Linked DNA regions of Macaca fascicularis. The protein of the gene in region 7 purifies or fractionates together with the protein of the main gene of each other region. This does not show direct contact. Links are inferred from orthologs where the notes say so. Each region holds a gene or a part of one and is shown on either strand. Other genes may lie near its edges. The genes, in order: SHCBP1, MAVS, ANKRD52, PRC1, PPP6R1, STXBP4 and PLK1.

What was found.
Region 1: the proteins of PLK1 (region 7) and SHCBP1 purify together in Homo sapiens (affinity purification with western blotting; 3 studies listed by BioGRID, with this or other methods). This does not show direct contact. The link is inferred for Macaca fascicularis from reciprocal best matches to the Homo sapiens genes PLK1 and SHCBP1.
Region 2: the proteins of PLK1 (region 7) and MAVS purify together in Homo sapiens (affinity purification with mass spectrometry; 3 studies listed by BioGRID and IntAct, counting the BioPlex papers as one, with this or other methods). This does not show direct contact. The link is inferred for Macaca fascicularis from reciprocal best matches to the Homo sapiens genes PLK1 and MAVS.
Region 3: the proteins of PLK1 (region 7) and ANKRD52 purify together in Homo sapiens (affinity purification with mass spectrometry; 3 studies listed by BioGRID and IntAct, with this or other methods). This does not show direct contact. The link is inferred for Macaca fascicularis from reciprocal best matches to the Homo sapiens genes PLK1 and ANKRD52.
Region 4: the proteins of PLK1 (region 7) and PRC1 purify together in Homo sapiens (affinity purification with western blotting; 4 studies listed by BioGRID and IntAct, with this or other methods). This does not show direct contact. The link is inferred for Macaca fascicularis from reciprocal best matches to the Homo sapiens genes PLK1 and PRC1.
Region 5: the proteins of PLK1 (region 7) and PPP6R1 purify together in Homo sapiens (affinity purification with mass spectrometry; 3 studies listed by BioGRID and IntAct, with this or other methods). This does not show direct contact. The link is inferred for Macaca fascicularis from reciprocal best matches to the Homo sapiens genes PLK1 and PPP6R1.
Region 6: the proteins of PLK1 (region 7) and STXBP4 purify together in Homo sapiens (affinity purification with mass spectrometry; 3 studies listed by BioGRID and IntAct, counting the BioPlex papers as one, with this or other methods). This does not show direct contact. The link is inferred for Macaca fascicularis from reciprocal best matches to the Homo sapiens genes PLK1 and STXBP4.

The regions. Positions count from the first base shown.
Region 1 is NC_088394.1:42,490,634-42,493,467, forward strand, and holds part of SHCBP1 (SHC SH2 domain-binding protein 1), read right to left. Parts: intron 1,247-2,834; coding exon 1,160-1,246; intron 807-1,159; coding exon 665-806; intron 1-664. UniProt on the Homo sapiens protein: May play a role in signaling pathways governing cellular proliferation, cell growth and differentiation. May be a component of a novel signaling pathway downstream of Shc. Acts as a positive regulator of FGF signaling in neural progenitor cells.
Region 2 is NC_088384.1:83,432,929-83,436,428, forward strand, and holds part of MAVS (mitochondrial antiviral-signaling protein), read right to left. Parts: intron 2,560-3,500; 5' UTR 2,493-2,559; coding exon 2,376-2,492; intron 1-2,375.
Region 3 is NC_088385.1:63,044,959-63,048,458, forward strand, and holds part of ANKRD52 (serine/threonine-protein phosphatase 6 regulatory ankyrin repeat subunit C), read right to left. Parts: intron 3,316-3,500; coding exon 3,114-3,315; intron 2,866-3,113; coding exon 2,778-2,865; intron 2,702-2,777; coding exon 2,584-2,701; intron 766-2,583; coding exon 546-765; intron 361-545; coding exon 273-360; intron 160-272; coding exon 76-159; intron 1-75. UniProt on the Homo sapiens protein: Putative regulatory subunit of protein phosphatase 6 (PP6) that may be involved in the recognition of phosphoprotein substrates.
Region 4 is NC_088381.1:75,546,008-75,549,988, forward strand, and holds the start of PRC1 (protein regulator of cytokinesis 1), read right to left. Parts: upstream 2,801-3,981; 5' UTR 2,659-2,800; coding exon 2,648-2,658; intron 1-2,647. UniProt on the Homo sapiens protein: Key regulator of cytokinesis that cross-links antiparrallel microtubules at an average distance of 35 nM. Essential for controlling the spatiotemporal formation of the midzone and successful cytokinesis.
Region 5 is NC_088393.1:63,175,863-63,179,362, forward strand, and holds part of PPP6R1 (serine/threonine-protein phosphatase 6 regulatory subunit 1), read right to left. Parts: intron 3,237-3,500; coding exon 3,124-3,236; intron 3,028-3,123; coding exon 2,914-3,027; intron 2,378-2,913; coding exon 2,215-2,377; intron 2,130-2,214; coding exon 1,977-2,129; intron 999-1,976; coding exon 864-998; intron 1-863. UniProt on the Homo sapiens protein: Regulatory subunit of protein phosphatase 6 (PP6). May function as a scaffolding PP6 subunit. Involved in the PP6-mediated dephosphorylation of NFKBIE opposing its degradation in response to TNF-alpha.
Region 6 is NC_088390.1:51,691,605-51,695,104, reverse strand, and holds part of STXBP4 (syntaxin-binding protein 4), read left to right. Parts: coding exon 1-143; intron 144-1,108; coding exon 1,109-1,187; intron 1,188-3,500. UniProt on the Homo sapiens protein: Plays a role in the translocation of transport vesicles from the cytoplasm to the plasma membrane. Inhibits the translocation of SLC2A4 from intracellular vesicles to the plasma membrane by STX4A binding and preventing the interaction between STX4A and VAMP2.
Region 7 is NC_088394.1:22,751,436-22,754,935, reverse strand, and holds part of PLK1 (serine/threonine-protein kinase PLK1), read right to left. Parts: intron 3,259-3,500; coding exon 3,165-3,258; intron 1,434-3,164; coding exon 1,214-1,433; intron 1-1,213. UniProt on the Homo sapiens protein: Serine/threonine-protein kinase that performs several important functions throughout M phase of the cell cycle, including the regulation of centrosome maturation and spindle assembly, the removal of cohesins from chromosome arms, the inactivation of anaphase-promoting complex/cyclosome (APC/C) inhibitors, and the regulation of mitotic exit and cytokinesis.

The DNA.
Region 1 (2,834 bases), about 20 Mb from region 7:
GTAACTGGAGCGGATCCTGAAGGATGACAAGGACTACCCTTTAAACTCTTTCAACCTGAAAAAGCTGATTAAATAAATAAACTGCTTTAAACTTTCCTCACCTACATCAAAGCTTGATAGTGATCTACCTCATAGCTTGAAGTTCACAGATTTCCACTGAGTTAGTTCCCCTTTGCTGCCAAGAACGGCAGGTGACAGGAAGGCATTTACTTCCACCAATAAAAACAGAGATAAACTCCACTATCCCCTCCAGGAAATGCAGCCTGCAACCTGGTACATTCATTTCACTGCCTCCAGCCTTAACAAATGCCAGTAGGAGCCACTGTTGCTATCACACACCCACCATAGCATCACACACCCACCGTTGCTATCGCATACCCACCGTTGCTATCACACATCCACCCTCATTGAAAGCTAAGCATGATAAGGGAACTGCACAGAAACCACAATATCAAGATTTTGAATGACAGTTGAACTAATTGACCTTGAGAGTTTCTTTCACATTCTATAATATCATGGCTTTATCAAGGTTCTCTCTCTCTGTCTGCCCAAGCATATCCCAACAACCTTTTTTAAGGAACAGAGGAAGACTCAGATCCTTAATCAGCATTTAATGCTGAAATAAATTATGTCTGGTTTTTATATTAAAAATTACTAAACATACCTTCAGTTCCATCTTCAGCATTTTCTTGCAGGTCAGAGAAGATTGTAGGTTTCACCAAGACAACACCATAACCTTCATTATTATGTATTATGTTATTCACCATGGATATCTTGGGAATGTCATAATGTTCATCTAAGAAGTCCTGTGACATTGAAAACAAATGTTTTAGGAACTGTCATATTCAACATTTCCTGCCTTAAAAATCTTCTTTATTCATACTATTCTAAAAATAAAGGAGAAAAGCTATGCTTCGTCCCATGTTGTAGCACAGTCTGAGCCCTTAGTGACACAGCTTTCCTCTGTCATTTCTGCAGATCTATAGGTAACAAAGCATTCTCACAAGAGATTCCAATCACTGACTACCGATATTATCAAAATGTGTATACTGCTTCCTTTTCAAAACCAGAAAAACAGAACCCAACAATTTAATAAAGCATAATTTGTAGGTGAAGCCATTCTATCCATTGAAAAGTGGGTGTTTTGGCCAATGCTCACCTTAATGAGGATCCCTTCCTTGCAGTGATGGATCCCATTGTCACTCAGGGTGCACTGACTCCCAGGGTAGATTTCTATACCGGCACCCTGTGAGTCACAGTTTGAGATAATGACAATCAGTTTTTAAAAGGCAAGACTGTAAGAGATTACTACAATTACTTCTTAGCCTTTAACACAGTACAAATGTACAGCACAAAGATAAAGTATTTTACAGGTAAGTGTTATCAGCCATTTTTAATCAACACTTCCATTTGTTCCATTTCTAGCAAGTTGTTGACAATTTATCACTTTCAAAACCACACACACACACACTCACACACAGGCTAAGAGTGTCAACACTTGATTCTTGCTCTACTCTCTTTCATTCTAGATAAATGTTTTCTGATTCTGCCAAGAAAAAAAGTCATTAACAATTTTGTTGAAAGATGTACTTATTCAAAATGACCATTCTCTCAGATACTCAATTAGTTGGAGAAAAGTATTTGAATTTAGTAAAATATTGTAATTTGTGGATAGAAACAAGATCCCACATTTTCCAAAACGTGCCAGTTTTAAAATACCCCAACCCAACTTAAAAATCATTTCTATGAGTTAAACAATGGCTTTCCCTACCACACACGTTAACATTAGCAGCCAGTTCAAGCGTCATTCAAACAGAGTAACCAGAAAGATCAAACATGACACTATTCTCTCACACCTCATGGCACCAAAAAACATAAGAGTAGTAAGAATTTATTTCCCAATGCTATGCAAGGCACTCTGGAAACAAAAATGATTCACTCAAACCTCTATAGTTATTTCAGCAACCATTTGGGAATAATTTAACACACAACAGCATCGATGAAGAAGAGTTGCTACAACCATTGATAACACATCTACTGCATGTATGTTCAGTTAATTTTCTAGTAGCAGTAGTATTCCATGAGAAAACATTTATTATTATTTAACCCTGTACATGTGCCTGAATCATATGTATACACCAATCTAACCCTTCTGTAGAGAGGACTTTAAAAATGTGCTAATTGGGCCTACTTCTAGGAGATTTTCAGTTTGGGGTTATGTGCAAAAAAAGATTAGGGGTGATTACGTTAAAAAATATCTACAGCAAGATAGTTAAAATTAAATATCAAACTATCAGGAATCACATAAAATTTGTAAAGGAGAACAATTTAAACCTGTAGTCATGTAGCAAATGAAAGTCATATTCAAAATATGTTATGAAAAGGAACAGATAATTTGGCAATTAAAAAGTAACTGAGGAGTCTGCCACTTCTGGGATGATGGAGTAGATGTCCCTATTCCTCCTGCTAGGTACAACCAAAAACAATGGGCATTATATATAAAACAAGCATAAGACTAAAAAGTGGAGGGAATAAGACAGACCAGCTAGGGACCTCAGGACCTAAGAAACAACACCAACACAGTGGTAAGTTCCTTTCTTTTTGCTTCATAATCCCTAGACTTGGAGTTGAAGAAGCCAGCAATCCAGTACACCAACAGACATACACTTAAAAAAAAGCTGCTGTAACAAAAGGACTAGGCAACCTAGAAAGACAGAAAACTTTTAGATAATAATAGCTCTATTGCAGGTAAACACCACAGAATAAAACAGCAGCCCCAATCTCACCCATGCCAGCAAAGGTCAAGAGAAAAACTTAAACTTTTGCCCCCTCAA
Region 2 (3,500 bases), on a different chromosome or scaffold from region 7:
GTGCTGGGATTACAGGCGTGAGCCACTGTGCCCAGCCCTAGAGTTTTTATGTCTATCTGAATTCCCACATTAAAAACAAGCAACCAGATAGCAGAAACAAAAACCCACAGAATCCTGCAGGAGCTAGATTTTTAGAAAAAGGAAAATAGCCAGGCGCGGTAGCTCACACCTGTAATCCCAGCACTTTGGAAGGCCAAGGATCACGAGGTCAGGAGTTCGAGACCAGCCTGACCAACATGGTGAAACCCCGTCTCTACTAAAAATACAAAAATTAGCTGGGCATGGTGGCACGTGCCTGTAATCCCAGCTACTCAGGAGGCTAAAGCAGGAGAATCGCTTGAACCCAGAAGGCAGAGGTTGCGGTAACCCGAGATGGCACCACTGCACTCCAGCCCAGAAGACAGAGCAAGACTCTATCTCAAAAAAAAAAAAAAAAAAAGGCCGGGCACGGTGGCTCAAGCCTGTAATCCCAGCACTTTGGGAGGCTGAGACGGGTGGATCACGAGGTCAGGAGATCGAGACCATCCTGGCTAACACGGTGAAACCCCGTCTCTACTAAAAAATACAAAAAAAAACTAGCCGGGCGAGGTGGCGGGCGCCTGTAGTCCCAGCTACTCGGGAGGCTGAGGCAGGAGAATGGCGTAAACCCGGGAGGCGGAGCTTACAGTGAGCTGAGATCCGGCCACTGCACTCCAGCCTGGGCCACAGAGCGAGACTCCGTCTCAAAAAAAAACAAAAACAAAAACAAAAACAAAACAAAACAAAACAAAATATTGTACCACTGCACTCCAGCCTGAGTGACAAGAGCAAGACTCGGTCTCAAAAATAAAAATAAAGACCAGCCTGGCCAACATGGTGAAACTGTCTCTACTAAAAATACAAAACTAGCTGGGCGTGGTGGCTTATGCCTGTAATCCCAGCACTTTGGGAGGCCAGGCGGGCGGATCATGAGGTCAGGAGATCGAGACCATCCTGGCTAACACGGTGAAACCCAGTCTCTACTAAAAGTACAAAAAATTAGTCGGGCATGGTGGCAGGCGCCTGTAGTCCCAGCTACTCGGGAGGCTGAGGCAGGAGAATGTTGTGAACCCGGGAGGCAGAGCTCGCAGTGAGCCGAGACTGCGCCACTGCACTCTAGCCTGGAACAGAGTGAGACTCCGTCTCAAAAAAAAAAAAAAAAAAATACAAAACTAGCCAGGTGTGGTGCCATGCGCCTGTAACCCCAGCTACTCAGGAGGCTGAGGCGCGAGAATCACTTGAACCCGGGAGGCGGAGGTTGCAGTGAACTGAGATCACACCACTGCACTCCAACCTGGGCAACTGAGTGAGACTCTGTCTCAAAAAAAATTTTTTAAAGAAAATAAAACCCACAGAAAATATTTACTACAAAACAAGATATCCCTATAAACCCCAAAATACAAGAGGGAGGGGCAAACCCCAAACAGACCTGCATACTAACACGATCTGTGTGGGAGGACACCAGAGACAGCAATGGGGCTCCTGAGAAATCTGAGGACAGGAGGCCCCAAAAGAGCCAACAGGTACCCTCTGGAGCACAGGGGTCCAATCTGAGAATAGCAGCTACAACGGGGAGGGGTTGTGCCCGTTTCACCAGCTAGTGAGTGCCAGGGGCCTGCAGCAAGTTCTGTTGGGGCTAGAGCGACCTGGCTCCTGCCTGCTCTCAAACCTGAGTCCCAGCGCTGTGCCTGGACAGGGCCCCATGACAAGGAGAATGGAGTCAAAACTGAGCAGGACAAGGAAGGGCAAGAGAGATGAAGGAAATAGGAGGTTCCAAAAAAAGTGGGCAAGTGGACCAGAGCCAGGAAATCTCAGAGAGCCAGTGCCATGTTTTTGAGCAGTGTACAAAAACAACACAACGGGGAGTTCGGCGAAGTCAGCAATGCCACCCCGAGCCACACTTCATCCAAAAGTTAGAAAAGCAGCAACGGCGCTCACGCCTGTAATCCCAGCACTTTCGGAGGCTGAGGCAGGTGGATCACGAGGTCAAGAGATCGAGACCATCCTGGCCAACATGGGGAAACCCCGTCTCTATTAAAAACACAAAAATTAGCTGGGCGTGGTGGCACACACCTGTAATCCCAGCTACTCGGGAAGCTGAGGCAGGAGAATCACTTGAACCTGGGAGGCGGAGGTTGCAGTGAGCCAAGATCATGCCACTGCACTCCAGCCTGGCGACAGAGTGAGGCTCTGTCTCAAAAAAAAATGAAAAGCAGCAAGGACAAGGAGCAAGACACAGCAAGAGGCAGAAGGAAGGAGCCAGCCCTGGCTTGGGTGAGGAACTAGGATAGGGCTGAGCTTTGAATTCCACAGTCCTGCCCCCAGGCCAGTATCCGGTTGTCACTTCCCTTGCTCACCTGGTCTCTTGCTGTGAGGCAGGGCAGGTAAGGCAGAATCTCTACAACATCCACATTGCAAAAATTGCTGAAATTGCGGCAGATATACTTATAGGTCTTGTCTTCAGCAAACGGCATTGCTGCTCAGATTCTAGAGAGAGGGCTCTGGCCCCGTGAAGGGTGGATGGACTGAGAGGAAACGAGACTGGAAGAAAACAGAATCACACATGACAACAGGGTTGGGAGTGGGGCTGGACAAAAGGCAATTCTTTCTCAACTTTTTGGAATTTTTGTTTTCTTTCATCTTGAATTTCTTCTTCTTTTTCTTCTTTTTTTTTTTTTTTTTTTTTTTTGAGACTGAGTCTCACTCTGTCGCCCAGGCTGGAGTGCAGTGGCGCGATGTTGGCTCACTGCAACCTCTGCCTCCTGGGTTCAATTGACTCTTACCTCAGCCTCCTTCCCCAGTAGCTGGGATTACAGGTGCCCACCACCATGCCCAGCTAATATTTGTATTTTTAGTAGAGATGGGGTTTCACCATGTTGGCAGGCTGGTCACGGACTCCTGACCTCAAGTGATCCACCCGCCTCAGCCTCCCAAGTTTGGAGATTACAGGCGTGAGCCACCACACCCGGCTTTTTTTTCTTTTTCTTTTTCTTTTTTAAGAGACGGGGTCTCAGGCTGGGCACAATGGTTCATGCCTATAATCCCAGCACTTTGGGAGGCCAAGTTGGGGGATTACCTGAGGTTGGGAGTTGGAGACCAGCCTGACCAACATGGAGAAACCCCGTCTCTACTAAAAATACAACAACAACAACAACAACAACAAATTAGCTGGGCATGGTGGTGCATGCCTGTAGTCCCAGCTACTCGGGAGGTTGAGGCAGGAGAATTGCTTGAACCTGGGAGGCAGAGGTTGAGGTGAGCCGAGACCACGCCATTGCACTCCAGCCTGGGCAACAAGAGCGAAACTCCATCTCAAAAACAAACCAACCAACCAAAAAAGAGATGGGGTCTCACTCTGTCACCCAGGTTGGGTGCAGTGGTGCAATCATACTTCACTGCAGCCTCAAATTTCTGGGCTCAAGCAATCCTTCTGCCTCAGCGTCCCAGGTAGCTGGAACTACAAACTTGCGCCACTATGCCCA
Region 3 (3,500 bases), on a different chromosome or scaffold from region 7:
GGAAGAGTATACTGCCCAAGCAGAAAGAGGAAGCCAGAGGCAACTGGACTTCTCCCCAAGTCTTCTATCACCCACCGTCCTTTGGCATCTCGGCTGTTCACAATCTTGGCACCCAGAGCTCCCAGCAGCATCTCTGTGGTGCTGTCCTGGTTATTAATCCTAGAGGAACAGGGAGGAGGGGTCATCAGGAAGGACAAGGGAAGTAGGCTACCTGTCCTAAGCTCAGGTCATGGGCCCTCGCAAGAAGGGCTGATGCAGCAGAAGGGACTTACACTGCACAGTGCAAAGGAGTGAAGGGGTTTCCTTCCAGGTATGAAAACGGGCTGTGTTCAAGTAACAACTCCAGACAATCTTCGTGTCCTGGGCATGAGTAAGGAAGAGTTGTGATGGAGAAAAACAACAAGGTTCCCTGTCTGTCCTGTGTCTTGACACTCCAGTCTACTTCCAGATTCAGATCAACCCAGGTCACTCCCAAAACCCACCCGTCCTCCTCTACACACACTCCAACACATACTCCTGTGCCTGTGGAGGCCCCAGTCTAGTACCAGTGTAGGAGGCCCAGTGCATGGGCGAGTATCCGCTGTAATCCACCCCAGCATCCAGGGGGTCTGTGGAAAGGGCAGCCTGCAGCAGGGTCCGCAGTACTGCAGTGTGGCCACAGGCTGAGGCCAGGTGAATGGGTGTGCGGCCCTTAAAGTCTCGGCACAGCACAAATGCGTCGTGGTCCAGCAGGGCAGCCAGGCAGTCCTCACAGCCAGTCACTGCCTGTGAGTAACATGGGGGTGTGAAGGGGATGAAAAGCTCCTTCTTTTCTGCTGGCCTGTTGCTTGAGTCTGGCTCAGGAGTAAGAACCACTTCCAGGGCTCCAATCCTTGTCTTTTTTTTTTTTTGGAGACAGAGTCTTGCTCTGTCACCCAGGCTGGAGTGCAGTGGCACAATCTTGGCTCACTGCAACCTCTGCCTCCCAGGTTCAAGCGATTCTCCTGCCTCAGCCTCCCGAGTAGCTGGGATTACAGGCAGGTGCCACCATGCCCGGCTAATTTTTTTGTATTTTTACTAGAGATGGGGTTTCACCATGTTAGCCAGGATGGTCTTGATCTCCTGACCTCGTGATCCGCCTGCCTTGGCCTCCCAAACTGCTGGGATTACAGGCATGAGCCACTGCACCTGGCCTCAATCCTTGTCTTTACAACAATGATTATTATTTTTTTTGAGACAAGAGTCTCACTCTGTCACCCAGGCTGGAGTGCAATGGTGTGATCTTGGCTCACTGCAACCTCTGCCTCCCGGGTTCCAGCAATTCTGTCTCAGCCTCCTGAGTAGCTGGGATTATAGGCATGCACCACCACGCCCAATTAATTTTTGTATTTTTAGTAGAGACAAAGTTTCACCATGTTGGCCAGGCTGGTCTCGAACTCCTGACCTCAGCTGATCCACCCGCCTTGGCCTTCCAAAGTGCTGGGATTACAGACGTGAGTCACCGCGCCCGGCCCTTTACAACAATGATTCTAAGTGTCACATCTCCCTCCTTGACTCTCTCTATGCCAATAAACATTCAGGATACTAAGAGTTAGAGCTCTGGAGTGAAAGACTAAACAGAGAGAAGAAGGAGACTAAGGGATCAAAAAATCTTGTGGGAGGAGGAGGCAGCTGAGGACAGGTGGTCGCGGAAGAGGATCTAGGTGGTGCTGACATTATGCGATGGGATGGGGCCAGCAGGGTATCCCAAGTAGAGTGAGTGGTAAGCACTCAGTTGTATGTGATTACAAAGCACAGATATCGGCCAGGCACAATGGCTCACGCCTGTAATCCCAACCCTTTGGGAGGCCAAGGCGGGTGGATCTCATCATCAGGAGATTGAGACCATCCTGGCTAACACAGAGAAACTTGGTCTCTACTAAAAATAAAAAAATTAGCTGGGCGTGTCATCCCAACTACTCGGGAGGTTGAGGCAGGAGAATCGCTTGAACCCGGGAGACAGAGGTTGCAGTGTGCCGAGATCACGCCACTGAACTCCAGCCTGGGCAACAGAGCAAGACTCCGTCTCAAAAATAATAATAACAACAATAATAATAATAATAAAACAAAGCACAGATACCAGGGAAATCAGCTGGGGATGTCAGGGACTCATCCTGGAGCAAGCACAAGGCTCAATAAGATCCTGGGCACAGCATGGGCCTGGTGGCTCGCACCTGTAATCCCAGCACTTCAGGAGGCCAAGGTTGGGGGATCACTTGAGCCCAGGAGTTCAAGACCAGTTTGGGCAAGATGGTAAGATCCCCATCTCTACAAAAAATACAAAAATTAGCTGGGCATGGTGGCATGTGCCTATAGTTTCAGCTACTCAGGAGGCTGAAGTGGGAGGATCACCTGAACCCAGGAAGTCAAGGCTGCAGTGAGCCATGATAGTGTCACTGCACTCCAACCTGGGCAATGGGAGTGAGACCCTGTCTCCAAAAAAAAAGAGACTGGGCACAAAATCCTGGCTCGCCTCCTAGACAATTGGATTCCCTACTGCTGGTGAGTCCCGTGCTCCCACACTGAGGCCCACATGCAAACAATCCCCCCCAGAAGCTCACTCACCCCGCGGTGGAGGGCGGTGCGGCCCCGGAGGTCAGCAGCATCAGCTGTGGATCCTTTCTCTAGCAGCAGATGTACACAGTCCACATGGCCATTCATGATGGCCAGCATCAGTGGGGTCCTACAGAGGGGCAGGAGGAGGAGTGAGGATCCCACAAGGACTGGAAAACCTGCACCCCACCCTGGCCCACACTCACTGTCCATAGGCATCCATGACATCTGTGATGTCAGCTCGTTCCCCACTGTCGATCAGCAAGTGCAGGGAGTCAGTGTGGCCAGAGGCAGCTAGGGGAAAGGGACCCCGCGTCAGGGCAGGGCCAAGAGGAAGAAGGGAGGCGAGGTCAAGCCTAAAGGACTTGGGGTCAATGTTACAGGAAGACCTGGGCCACAGAGAAATCTCTGAGGATAGGAAGCTATGAATCAGGGCTTGAAGTCTCTATTCTCCTCACCCTACTCCACTTTCCAGCCCCATTCCCATCCAGGAGGGATCTGGCATGGCAAGGGTAAGGCAGCAGCCTCAAGTGGGCACTAACCAGCAGCGTGCAGGGGCGTCCACTTGCGCTTGCGCTCCTTGATGAGGGCAGAGGCGCCATGGGCCGTAAGCACCTCCACACACTCAGTAGAGCCGCGCTCCGTGGCCAGGAAGAGTGCGGTCCGGCCCTTGTGGTCCCTTACGTCCAGATTCACCAGCGTCTCTGCCAGTGTCTTCAAGGCTTCACAGTGACCGTTGTAGGCCTGGAGGGGTGCAGGCAACCAGTGCACACAGCTTGGGACCTTCCCTGCTCTTCCCTTCCCCTTCTCTGCTCTTGGGGTCCATGGGAAGCTCAAGGTCTTAGTCCTCGACAAGCTCCTTGGGCCCCTCAAGGCTTCCTACCCTGCACTGTGTTTATCCCCTCTCCCACAAAAAGGCAGAAGCAAGG
Region 4 (3,981 bases), on a different chromosome or scaffold from region 7:
CTCTGCTGCTACCACTACCACCCCCACCCTCGTCCAGGTCACTGCCACTAACTTTTTGCTGTATGGCAATGGCTTCTTAACTGGTCTCCCTGCTTCAATGCTGGCCTCCTTAAGTCTATTGTCAACACAGGAGCCCCAAGTCCTAATCTTCTACTCAGAACCCTCCAATGACTTGCCATCTCACTCCAAGGAAAAGCCTCTGGCTTTGCAAAGCCCTATGAAGGCCCATTCCATCTGAAAGCCATTTCTTTTGACCTCAGTGCTCATTCTATTCCTGTCACAGAGACCTCCTTGCTCTTTCTGGAACATACCAGGCACTATCCCCGCTTAGGGCACTTGGATATGCTGATTACCTAGATCTCTTTTCCCCCATGCTGCATGGCTTCACCCTTTTCCTCCTTAGGTCTTTGCTCAGAGATCACCTTCTCAGGGAGGCCTTTCCTGACCCATCTCTTTAAAACCACAACCCCACTTCCTACACCTTCAGTACTTCTTATCCCCTTTCTCTGCTTGATTTCTCTACATAGCACTTATCACCATTTAAGATTAACTTATTTATTACACTCCTGTTTTGCTATTAGAATACAAACTCTGTGAGGACAGGGATGTCACTTTTGCTCACTGCTATATCCCCACCACTTGGAATGGTTCCTTGTATATAACATTCAAGAATTATTTTTCTTTTCTTTTTTAGTATAGATTATTATTATTTTTTAGAGACAGGGTCTTGCTATGTTGCCCCAGGCTGGTCTTGAACTCCTGGGCCCAAGTCATCCTCCCACCTTGGCCTCCTAAAGTGCTGGGATTACAGGTGTGAGCCACTGTGCCAGGCCCAAGAAGTCTTTTTGAATGAATAATGTGACATTTCAAAAAAGTTGTATGTTCTTAAGATGCTTCAGAGCAATCATTATGAACAATTGTCATGATACACTGAAATACTACCTGGCTAAATTGTTTCAGGTAATCCCCTAAAAGGAGCAAGTCTGAGATTTTTTTTAGACTCACTGAAAAACTCAGAGTGCATACAAAGACTACCACTCAAGGACACAAAGGTTGTAGAATGAGTCAGTTTTTTCAGTCTTGAACATAAATCACTGGACTGGAAGAAATCTCAAAGTGGTCCTCTAAATTATTTCCTACCTTCAGGCAGCCTTCACTGATCCACTGCCCTATTTTTTCTTAGCACTCCAGAGAAGGAGCTTTGTTGATCTCCTGTGCAACCTGTTTCGGGGACCGATAACCATAATTAATTCTGGCCAGAGTTTTGTTTGAGCCTCAGAGGTCAAAGCTGCAGTGAGGAATCTCGCCACTGCACTCCAGCCTGGGTGACAGAGTGAGACCCTGTCTCAAAAAAAAAAAAAAAAAGTCAAATTATATCCATTAGCCTGGAACCAACACTAAAGGGTAATTTTTTCTCCTGCTTCATTCAATCCCTTGATAGAGGAGATGCCTAAATAATTCATAAACTGTTAATGGACTTTTTTTTTTGAGACAGTCTCACTCTGCCACCCAGGCTGGAATGCAGTGTCGAGATGTCGGCTCATGCAACCTCTGCCTCCCAGGCTCAAGCGATTCTCCTGCCTCAGCCTCCTGAGAAGCTGGGGCTACAGGCGCACCACCACGCCCGGCTAATTTTTGTATTTTCAGTTAAGACGGGGTTTCACCATGTTGGCACTCAATTCTCATTATTCTGAGGGCAAGCATTTGAAAAAGACAGATCAGAATCAGTGATCATGAAATGAAGAATCTTACAAAGCCTTAGAACAATCAGTTTCACCAAAAACTACAAATTAACGCTGTATCATCACAATAATTCATCTACAACTTTCAGAAATTAAAGTTAATATTTGGAAGGCACAAGGCTGGTAAGTGTCAGTGTCACTGGTCCGGATTTCAAGTCGGTCAGTCCCTCCCCAACACTGCCTAGGAAGTTATTAAAACGACCGGAAAAGAATTCCATAATCCGTTTCTTAACTTGCAAAGAAACAAAGCTATCTTTCCAATTCAAACAAAACGTTAACACCGCTGGCCAGATATAAAGAAAAACAACGGGCCGGGCGCGGTGGCTCACGCCTGTAATCCCAACACTTTGGGAGGCCGAGGTGGCAGGATCACCTGAAGCCAGGAGTTCGAGACCAGCCTGGCCAACATAGGGAGACCGCGTTTCCACAAAAACAAAGAATAAAACAAAACAATGATAAATAAACTTAACAGCTTTAAAGAGAAGCCAGGACCACAGAAGGTTTACGAGTCATCTGCGCCAAGAAGCGGCACCTGAGACGCCGAGGGCGGGGAGGGTGGGGTCCGAGCGCCAGCGCTGACCGCCAGGGTGGAGGCCGACCCGGGCCCCCGGCCTCGCTTGCCCTGCCGCGTCCGGGCACCGGCGCTCGGCTCCCACCCGGGCGTCTGAGCCTGCGGACACCCGCGGCCGCCGGGGGACAGCGCGTCAGGTCTCACCTCCGTCGCGGCCCTCGCACTGGCTCGCCGCCTCCAGACCCTGCCTCTTCGCGCCCCCGGCCTCACTCAGCGCCGACTGCTGTGACGCCCTAGTCCCGGGACCCCGCACGGGCCCCGCACCCCTGAACCCCTGAACCCGAGACGGGCGTCGCTCTCTCCCGCGTCCCCTCGATTTCCCCGCAACCCGCACCTTCTCCTCATGGCAGACGCTCCAAGCAGCCGTCAGTCCAGCTCTAGACCTACTCAACACCGCCACGAGAGCAACAACCACCCGCAAACACCGGCGATCTCACTCCGGGTAGCCGCTCCGTGAGCCGTTGAGCCCCGCAAAATTTCAAACCGCGCCGCGGGGCGAAGCCTCGCTGCGATTGGCGTCGCGTCCCGTCGCTCCACGAAAATCCCCGCCCCTCGGGTTGCAGCTCGCGGGTGCGCAGTCGGGGCGGGGACTCGTGAGCGGGGCCCGGGAAGCGCTGGAGCGGGGCGGGGGATGACGTCACTGTCTGTGAGTGGGCGGGCGTGGCCTGCACCTCCCACTTCCCTCGATTGGCTGCAGCCTCAAGGGACTCCCCTCCCGAGTCGGCTACGTCATCGGAGCACCGCCCCGCCCCGCCCCGCCCGGCGCAGTTTGTCTTCGAAGTGCGCGGGCGGGGAAGGAGTTGAGAGCACCGCGGCTTTCCGGCTTCCCTGAGTCCCGGCTGCCGGGACCGGGAGCGGGGAGGAATAGGAAAGTTAGAGCCTAGTTTCCCTTGCTCATCCAAGAAGCGAACGTTGGAACCGATCTTTGGTGGGACTTCTCCCCAGATGTAGGAAGCCGTACACTAAGGGGAAGGGAAGGAACATTGAGCCCTGCTCATGGGCCTGGAACCTTTCAACGCTAGTTATCCTATTTAACCTCCACAATCCTGTTATGGCAAGTATTGTCACCATTGCAGAGGAAACTCAAAAAGATTTGAATGATTTGCCCAACTCACCTGATTGGTGAATAAATGCAGATCACCTAGGTGTGGTTTTCTTTCAAATTAGTTTCTAAATTGTTACATGAAAAATTTAAAACTCAAAATAAACATCATAGTACTTTTGTAGCCTCCTTTCCTCGATGAACATGTTACATCCCTAAATGCTTATATATCACATTTTTTTTCCCAGTGATTCATGGTGGCATAATATCCTGGTGTGTAGCTATCTCGCCCATTCTGCTATTGATATTTAGATAATTCAAAATATAAGGCTGGACTGAATATCTTCATACATAAATCTTTGCATCCTGCATTTTCGTATGGCTGATTCCTAGAGGTGTAATTACTGAATGCTCCCTTTATTAATTTGCCTTCTGCACAAAGCCTCACCGGAAAAGTACCCTCCTTTTGTTACCCTCAGCAGGGCTGAATTCTATCATACTTTTAAACATCTTTGCTCATTTTGTAGGTAAAATAATAATACTGGCATTTCCTTGTTTGGCACTTGATTATAACTGAAATTGCACATTTTTCGTGTTTACTGGCCAACTGTAACTTACGTTCATAT
Region 5 (3,500 bases), on a different chromosome or scaffold from region 7:
GGAGGGATGGAAGCTGGGGCTTGGGACCCTGGCATCCAGCCAAGTCTCTCTGGTCTTTCTACGAAGAGTATGTGGTGCATGCACACACACTCACGTGTGCACACACACGCATACATGCTCACACACACACACTCATGCATGCAGACTCACACATGCTCACACACGCATGCATGCACTGACACACTCATGCTCACACACACGTGCACACACATGTATACATGCTCACACACTCATGCATGCAGACTCACACATGCTCACACACGCATGCATGCACTGACACACTCATGCTCACACACACGTGCACACACATGTATACATGCTCACACACTCATGCATGCAGACTCACACATGTTCACACACACATGCATGCACTAACAGACACACTCATACGCATGCACACACATGCATACATGCTCACACACACTCATGCATGCAGACTCACACGTGCTCACACACGCATGCATGCACTAACATACACACGCGTGCACACACATGCATACATGCTTACACACTCATGCGTGCACACACACACACACACATGCTCACACACATGCATGCACTAACAGACACGTGCTCTCACACACACACTCATGTGTGCACACTCATGCACACACAGCCGCTCGCAGGTCTGCTCCCGCCCACCCCTAGCTCTTCGGTTCAAGTCAGGAGCCCACTGCTCCCTGCACCTGCATGTTTCATCCCCGTTTCTCCCTGGCCATGCCTCCCACATCCCATCTGGGTGCTGGCACCTAACACTACCCAACGAACACTTGTGGGAGGAAGAAGTGAGGGGTAGGCCTCTGGAGAGGGTGCGCCCACAGGGGATGGGCCCAGAAGGAGGGGATCAGGGAGTCCCAGCTCACATGTTTCACAACAGGGTTTTGGACGGGCGTCTCAGGGTTGCTGTCAGGAGGTGGCCCCAAGCTCAGCATGGTGCTCACGCATCCCTCCACTTGGGCATGCAAGAAGTTGTTGAAGACATAGTGGAAGAAGAGGTCCTATGGGAGGACACAGGGTTGGTACCAGAGAGGCCCTGCCCCAGCCCCTGAGCCCCCAGCCCCTGAGCCCCCAGCGCCCGAGCCCCCAGCCCAGTCTGGTCCCCACCCTAGCCCCTGAGCCCCCACCCAGACCAGTCCCCACCCCAGCCCCCGAGCCCCCAGCCCAGTCCGGTCCCCACCCCAGCCCCTAAGCTCCCAGTCCCCATGCCCCTAGCTCAGTCTGGTCCCCACCCCAGCCCCTAAGCCCCCAGCCCCCAAGCCCCTAGCTCAGTCCGGTCCCCACCCCAGCCCCTAAGCCCCCAGCCCCTGAGCCCCTAGCTCAGTCCGGTCCCCACCCCAGCCCCTTAATCCCCAGCCCCCGAGCCCCTAGCTCAGTCCGGTCCCACCCCAGCCCCTAAGCCCCTAGCCCCCGAGCCCCCAGCCCCGTCCGGTCCCCACCCCAGCCCCTTAACCCCCAGCCCCCGAGCCCCTAGCTCAGTCCGGTCCCCCCCCCAGCCCCCGAGCCCCTAGCTCAGTCCGGTCCCCACCCCAGCCCCTTAACCCCCAGCCCCCGAGCCCCTAGCCCAGTCCAGTCCCCACCCCAGCCCCTTAACTCCCAGCCCCCGAGCCCCTAGCCCAGTCCAGTCCCCACCCCAACCGCTTAACCCCCAGCCCCCGAGCCCCCAGCCCAGTCCGGTCCCCACCCCAGCCCCTGAGCCCCCAGCCCCCGAGCCCCTAGCTCAGTCCGGTCCCACCCCAGCCCCTTAACCCCCAGCCCCCGAGCCCCCAGCCCAGTCCGGTCCCCACCCCAGCCCCTGAGCCCCCAGCCCCCGAGCCCCTAGCTCAGTCCGGTCCCACCCCAGCCCCTAAGCCCCCAGCCCCCGAGCCCCCAGCCCAGTCCGGTCCCCACCCCAGCCCCTGAGCCCCCAGCCCCCGAGCCCCTAGCTCAGTCCGGTCCCACCCCAGCCCCTAAGCCCCTAGCCCAGTCCAGTCCCGCACCAGCATGGTGTTGGGCACGTCCAGTGCCAGGAGCTCCTGCGTCAGGGCTGCATCATTGGCGCTCAGGGCGCTGGCCAGGAGCTTGACCACGTGCAGCCGCGTGTTGCCCAGAGGCGGAGCCAGCATGCCCCACGTCATCTGTAGCGGCTCCAGCTGCAGATACAGGGAGCCCTGGTTCCCAAGGGCTGCGCTTCCTGCTTCCCCCGCCTCCCCAAGGACCACAACCCCCGCCCCTGACCTTGGGAGGCTCCAGCAGGAGCTGGTGGAAGCAGCTGAGCCGCGGGCGCAGGGCGTGCAAGGCGCCCACACTGGACACAGTGCTTTCCAGGGCTCCCTGGGCCAGGAGCTCCAGCTGCCCATCCACACTGCTGAAGAAGTTGTTCACAGTCATGGACTCGGACCTGCAGCAGGGCAGGGTCAAAGGCAGAGTGAGCCTAGACGGCCTGCGTGCCCACACGACAGCAGGCGCAAGGACTGAGTCTGCAGGGTCTGGAGGAAGACGAGGAGCCACATGCCCCTGGCGCTGCTCTCTTCTGAGGCCCTTCAGACTACACCTGGCTGGGGTGGGGTGGGGAGCTCGCCAGGTGGCAGCATTGGCAGTCCACTGTGGGGGCACCGGTGAGGGATGAGGGCGGGAAGGCACACCCAACAAGCTAGAGGCCTTTATGGTAAGGCAGGGGCACGGGGGCCTGAGGTCCCTCCCAACACAAGCTGCAGCAGTGGCCTCAGCCTCAGCGCCCTCATTTGTCAAACAAGACAGGAAGATTCCTCCCTTGGGCCCATACTGTCCACTGCACAGGGAGCACAAGCGGCCACCAGAGCAAGGCGCCACTTGGAGGCGGCAGTTTCACTTGGTGGACACCGAGACCCGCCTCTGAGGGGCCAGAGAGCCCCAGGGGACGGGCAGCATGCATGGTCTGCGGCTCATATCCCTCACCTCGGCCTCCTGGGCTCCAGCAGGGTCAGCAGCACCTGGATCCCACTGACGATGACAGACTGGCTCTGCTCCACCTCGAACATGTTGCTTAAGAGCTGCTCAATCGTCTCCTGCCTATGGGGGTGGGGGCGGGGGTCAGGGTGAGGGGCCAGGGGCCCAGGGCATCCCCGAGTCAGCTCCCCCCAGCCTTAGCTTCGCCCGCACACCCACTTCTCCAGGGTGGCCAGCAGCTGGTCAGGCTCCGGGCTGTCCTGGACTTGGATCATCTGCTCCCGGCTCAGGCGGACGATGTCACACAGGGACTGGGACGCGTTGGAATGTTGCTGGGATGGGGAGAGACAGGTGAGGATCCTGGGTGGGCCACCGGGCCCTCTGCAGCCTGGTGCTGGAAGCCCCGCCCCCGAGCTGACCATCCAGGGAAAAACGGTCACCCAGACACAGGGACACGAGTTAAGAAGAAGGGGGCACAGGCCGGGCGCGGTGGCTCAAGCCTGTAATCCCAGCACTTTGGGAGGCCGAGGCGGGCGGATCACAAGGTCAGGAGATCGAGACCATCCTGGCTAACACGGTGAAACCCCGTCTCTACT
Region 6 (3,500 bases), on a different chromosome or scaffold from region 7:
CATGTACATCACTTGTAGAAGCTTCAGGAGAATATGGACCTCAAGCCTCAACATTTAGTTTTTTTTCTTCTCCTCCTGAAATACTAATCCCAAAGACCTCATCCACTCCCAAAACAAATAATGCCATTTTACCTTCTTGTGAGGTAAGTCAGGTAATCTTAAATTTATGTATGTACTCCATAAATTCCCTATACATTTTTACATTGGTTATATACATATAGAATTATTTCAGTAAAATTGTTAACAAATTAATATTTCTTTGAAAGTTTTTTTTATTTTTTTCTATTTAAAATTTTGATGCTGTGTTTTCAATAAACATATTTTAAGTCAGCATGTCCTGTGGCCAGAAGCATGATGGGTTAGAAAATACCAGCATGACGAAATAGTTCCACAAAGATATGCCTAGATATCACTCAAAACTATGTTAGGAATGTCATATTTAGTTTCAGTTGGTTTAGTTATTTGCCATTTCTGTTCTCTGCTTGACTGAAGTCAGGCCATCTTCCTTTTGTTCTTAGCTTCTTTCCCACACAGTGAGGCTAATCCCAGGCTAATCCAGTCTAAGAGGGTATTGCACCTTCATGCGTGCTATAGTTCACCCAAGTAGAATCACACAAAATGGGCAATTTCTATATCAGAATTAACATACTCAATTACTAACTGCTATACTGTCCTAACAAATTACAGTTATAGAATAAAGTGTGTATTATTTATGTCTGTGTTAGCTGTAAAATAGGGAACTTATGCTTTTAGTCAGTAGAATAAAATTCGTCAAAGGTAACTTCAGTCTCTGGTACATGCTGAACAGAGACAGAGTATACGATTTTCTGTCAGCCCCTTATACTTTGTCACTTGCAGCTATAATACTTTTAAAAGACAACATGTGTGGCCTTATATTTTGTTATCCTTGGATGTGGTAGAGCTGAAAGCAATTGTTACCTTTAATTCTGAATTGCTTTGTTTGAAGATGCATATACCAAAATTTTAGAGGGTTCATGTTTGAGGGACAATTACTTTAATCTCTGTAACCATTCTTTTTATGTTAACATGGGCTTCAAGTGACCTACTTTAGTAAATGACATTGCATGTTCCTCATTTTCTTTCACAGATAAAAACTGGATACAACAAAACAGAACAGATTCCAATTACTTCTTCAGAAAACTGTTCTGTGGGTTTGTCTAATACAGGTAAATACACGTTTAATTTCTCTTTCCTGTTTTTTTTTTTTTTCAATTCTCTCTCAATGAGGAGTATGTAATGTGACTTAAGACTTCGAAGAAGGGTGAATTATGTCTTTGTTCCTTCAGTGAATGAAAAAGTAAAAATAATGTCTTTATGTTGGTCCCTGTTAAAATACGACTTTTATTAGAAATTTCCCTGGACAAAGAGTTGAAATTTCAAAAGATGCATTGTCATAACAGTGTTTATAAAGCTATAATAATTCATGAATTGTTTAAATCAAATAATGAAAAGTCTTCTATAAAGATCAAGATTAGGTTGCCGTGTCCTTTTAGTGCAATACTGATGAGGCATATTAAATACACCTTTCAGAAAACACATTATAGAAGGGAGCATACCTTAAGAAATGTGTCTTGTTTTTTTGGAAGAAATCATATGGATATCAATCAGAAAGGATGTCAGTATTGTTAATTCATTATTATTGATTCTTAATTACCATAAAATGATTTACTGACTTTTTAAAACAATAAAGCATTAATTATCTAAGCCAAGTGTAAAATAAGGATTTTTATTTGGCTGTAAGGTGTTTACAGGATCAATATCAAGAAAAAGTCCCCTGAAATTATCTCCAAAAGTTAAACACAATGATAAAAAGACTAAACATAACTGAAAAACTAATTATATATGCCTAATTATAATGCAAATTTTTACCTGTATATTTTAGTTTTGTTTTAATAGCATTATTCATATAAGAACAGAAAAATAAGGAAGCATTAATTTAAATTAAATAGCAACCAATCTTTTTTTTGAGACAGATTCTCGCTCTGTCGAAGCTCTGCCTCCTGGGTTTACGCCATTCCCCTGGCTCAGCCTCCCGAGTAGCTGGGATTACAGGTGCCCGCCACCATGCCCAACTAATTTTTTGTACTTTTAATAGAGACGGGGTTTCACTGTGTTAGCCAGGATGATCTTGATTTCCTGACCTCGTGATCTGCCTGCCTCAGCCTCCCAAAGTGCTGGGATTACAGGCATGAGCCACTGCTCCCAGCCCAATAGCTGCCAATCTTTACAGGAGTTTATACTATATTCCACAGTGGTTTACTCCGATTTGGGGTGGTATTTACAAGTGGGTTAATAGCAATCTTCAGCCATGAGTTATATTTGCTTTTACTTAGATTTATTGACCCTTAGAAACTTTATAGTATTATTCCTCTTACATAATTAATTTCCAGTCTCTGGATGTACTATATTTATTTTAAACTGGGAACCCATATGAGAAGAAAAAGACAAATGAAACAGTCATGAGATGAACATCAAAATTGCTGGATGATGGAAGTCAGAATCCTTTATTCCTTGATTATATTATAAATTATTAATAATTATATAACATGTTTTTAACTTTTAAAGTAATTAAACTATTCAATGCCTCTTTTAACCTTTTATTCAGTAAGGATTTACTGTGTTATATAGAATACAGTACAATGGGATTTATGAAGAAATTAGGATATTTTCTGTGAGATACTTAATAGTATATTGTGAAATAAAACATGGGGCTAAAAATTCTAATTATTCAAATTAGGAAACATTCTAATTTATATGCATGTGTTTGTTTATAGATGTGTGTGTATGTTTATTTTATCAAGCAGCTACTATTTGCAGTTTTTTGTGTTAATCGGAGCAGGATGTGGGTGGTTTTGTTACTCTAAAAACCATTCTGTCTTGTGGATAAATAACACATTTAAACAAATTATGTAAAGACATGAACATAGAGGCCTAAGGAAAGAAGTAGTGAGTGCTATGAGTATGGTATAAGGAAGGCACAGTGGTTACCACCAGACTCTGGATACAGACTCAGTGTTCAAGTTCTTGCTTTCATCTTATTAACTCTGTAACCTTGAAAGAGTTACAAGTTTACACGGAGTTGTTATGAGGATTAAACAAGATCATGCATGTCAAGCACTTATATTGTAATTAGTGCATAGTATATGCCTACTAAATTTTCCTGTTACTAATAATACAGAACCTATAGCTTAGAGTATAGCTCAGATAATATTCTAGGTCGTGTTTATAGAGCAGAAGGAAAAGCTTCCAATTCTTGATTCAATTTTATGTCCTCCCCTTGACCCCAAAAACTAGTATATAATAAGGAATCTGTCACAATATGCAGAAATTAAGAAAAATTTCTTGTCAAAAGTCAGACATTATCCATATCTTGAAAAACGTGGTAAACATCAATTGATAACTGAACACAGGAGATCGTTTCAAGTTAAGGAAGCACCACAAATGAAAGAACTAAGGATGAACTAGAGGTCAGATGACTC
Region 7 (3,500 bases):
AATTCTGTTCTCTGAAGAGACCTAGAAGCAATGACAACCTAAGCAATGGCATGTGGTTTTTTGATTTTTAAGAAAATGTCCATCTTTTTTAAGAGAAGTATTCTGAAGTTTATGTATAAAAATGGCAAAGTGCCTGGGGTTAACTTTAAAAAATACTTCAAAGAAACAAAAATAAATGAATGAAGCAAACTTGACAAAATCCTGATAACTAATTATTGAATCTGGTAAGTATGAGGGAATCCATTACATTATGCTCTATATGTGTACTTGAAAATTTTCATGCTGGCTGGGTGCAGTGGCTCACACTTGTAAACCCAGTACTTTGGAAGGCCAAGGCGGGCAGATTGCTTGAGCTTAGGAGTTTGAGAACAGCCTGGGCAACAAAGTGAGAATCTGTCTCTACAAAAAATACAAAAAATTAGCCAGGCATGGCAGCACACGCCTGTAGTCTCAGCTGAGATGAGAGGATGACTTGAGCCTGGGAGGCAGAAGTTGCAGTGAGCCAAGATCACACCACTCCACTCCAGCCTAGGAGACAGCCAGACCTGTCTCAAAAAAAAAAAAAAAAAAGGAAATTTTTATGTTTTTCAATGAATCATGAAAAAGTGTTAGAAGGCCAGGCGTAGCAGCTCATGCCTGTAATCCCAACACTTTGGGAGGTGGAGGTGGGAGGATCACTTGAGCCCAGGAGTTCCAAGACCAGCCTAGGCAACATGGCAAAACACTGTCTCTACAAAAACAAAAAAAAATTAGCCAGGCATGGTGGCTCATGCCTGACAGTCCCAACTACTTGGGAGGCTGAGATGGGAGGATTGATTGAACCCTAGAGTTGAAAGCTGCAGTGAGCTGTGATTGTGCCTCTACACTCCAACCTGGAAAACAGAGGAGAGACCCTGTCTCCAAAAAATTAAATTAATTAATTAAAGTGATTGGAAAGAATTTTTTAGGCTTGGTATTCAGTCCATTTTCTTCTTCTTGAGCACAGCAGGTTTATCCAGCCATGGTAAGGTCAGTCTTTCCCGGCAAGGCCGAGGAGCAGATGGGCATGGGAATCACGAATTTAAGCAGATGGGCATGGGAATCACGAATTTAAGGACAGAGGTCTGTCCTAAACCAAACCTGAGCTCTTGGGGCCAGGGACTAAGCCACACACACCCCTACAACCTGGGCTTTCTCTGGGGAGTCTGCTCTCTTACCCAGACCCTTGTTGTACCTTTATTGAGGACTGTGAGGGGCTTCCGGTTGCTGGGGTCCAGGCTGCTGGGAGCAATTGAAAACCTCGGTGGAATGGTCAGGCAGGTGATGGGGAGACGGGCAGGGATATAGCCAGAAGTAAAGAACTCGTCGTTAAGCAGCTCATTAATGGTTGGGCGGGCAGTGGGATCTGTCTGAAGCATCTTCTGGATGAGGGAGGCGGCCACGGGGTTGATGTGCTAGGGCAGAGAGAGGGACAGCCATAAGCAGAATGTGAAGGGGACCCGGAGTACAGTACGGCCTCAAAGGGGCTGCAGGCCAATAGACCACACGCAGTCCCCAGTCTCAAATACACCCCAGGTTAGTGGTTCACAACTTGGTTCAATGCCAACTTCTCCACTGTCGGCTTTACTGAGCACCTTTGACAGAAGGGTCAATGGACTGTGGCCTAGCACCAACTCACTTTCCTGGCACTTACTATGTGCCAGGAAAGCATTCTAAGCACTCCTGTACTTAGCTCACTTAGCCCTCACTAATACATCTAAGGGGTGGGGCTCTATTATCATCCCTTTTTTGCAGAGGAGGAAAGTGAGGCACAGAGAGGGTGAAGGCCTTGTCTAGTTGGCTTGATTCCATGCTGTCTCTGACAGTGAACTGACACTTTGTGATGGATTTACTATGTCCGTCCTTATGGTGACAGGCCTCTTGGCTTCACACAAGGACACTACACTTCAAACTGGCTGTGTGCTAGGCTTCTGCAGGAACCAGCTATTCCTTTAAATGCATTTCTGTTGGTGGTTGTGAAAATACACACCATGGCCAGGTGCGGTGGCTCACGCCTGTAATCCTAGCACTTAGGGAGGCTGAGGCGGGCAGATCACAGGGTCAGGAGATTGAGACCATCCTGGCTAACACAGTGAAACTCTCTTTCTACTAAAAATACAAAAAAAGTAGCCGGGTGTGGTGGCGGGCACCTGTAGTCCCAGCTACTCAGGAGGCTGAGGCGGGAGAATGGTGTGAACCCAGGAGGGGGAACTTGCAGTGAGCCGAGATCGCATCACTGCATTCCAGCTTGGGCGATACAGTGAGACTCTGTCTCAAAAAAAAAAAAAAAAAAAAAAAAGGAAATTGCACACCACTATGCCATTAGGAAGCCCTGGGATTCAGTGATTCATAATTCTGTGAGCACTTACTACATGTAAGGCACTCTGTGAGGTGCTCCAAGGCAGGAACTCCACTTTATAGACGAGAACTATGGTTCAGAAGATGCAGGCCAGGCTGGGCATGGTGGCTCATGCCTGTAATCCCAGCACTCTGGGAGGCTGAGGCGGGTGGATCACCTGAGGTCAGGAGTTCGAGACCATCCTGGCCAACGTGGTGAAACCCCATCTCTACTAAAAATACAAAAAAAAAAAAAAAAAAAGCCAGGCAAGGTGGTGGGTACCTGTAATCCCAGTTACTTGGGAGGTTGAGGCAGGAGAATCGCTTGAACCTGGGAGGTGGAGGTTGCAGTGAGTCGAGAGTCGAGATCATGCCACTGCACTGGGGAACAAGAGTAAAACTCTACCTCAAAAAAAAAAAAAGAAAAAAAAGAAAAAAAAAAGATGCAGGCCATTTGCCCAATGTGATCTGGCTAAGTGGCAGAATCCATTTGAATTAAGATAATCCATTTCCAAAGCTTAAGCACTTTAGCCTCCTACTCCTTCCTACCTCCTTTGTTTTTTGCTTTTTACGCAACTTTTGGGCTACCCAATCTCTTGAGAATCTGCCAACTCTCTCCCCCTAGAAAAAATGCTTATGTGCACATACATGTCAAGTTCTGTATGTAATTTCAGACACAGGCCCTCGCAAGCTCTGTGGCTATCCTAGAGGTGGGATAGACCTATTTCTGGTCTTAGGATATTGCTGGGCTCCATAAACAGCTTTTGGGGAAAACAAAATAAATGTAAAGTTAAAGCATCATTAGTCACCTTGGGAATACTGTATTCATTCTTCTTGATCCGGAGGTAGGTCTCTTTTAGGCAAGAAGTCTCAAAAGGTGGTTTGCCCACTAACAAGGTATACCTGTAAGCACAAGGTAGGATTTGGCACCAGCCTCCCAGCCACAACCCAGACATAAGAGAAATCATCTCAGGGTCAGAACAAAGACCAGGCATCCTCTGGACACTCACTGTAACTCTGGGGCCCCTGAAGACAACCAAGTCCACTGAGCAGCCCCAGGAGCCATAATATTGGCTAGAATGAGCCCTTAGCAGAATACACGTGGTGAGACTAGGATTCTTAGGGGCCAGTGATTTTTTAGTTGT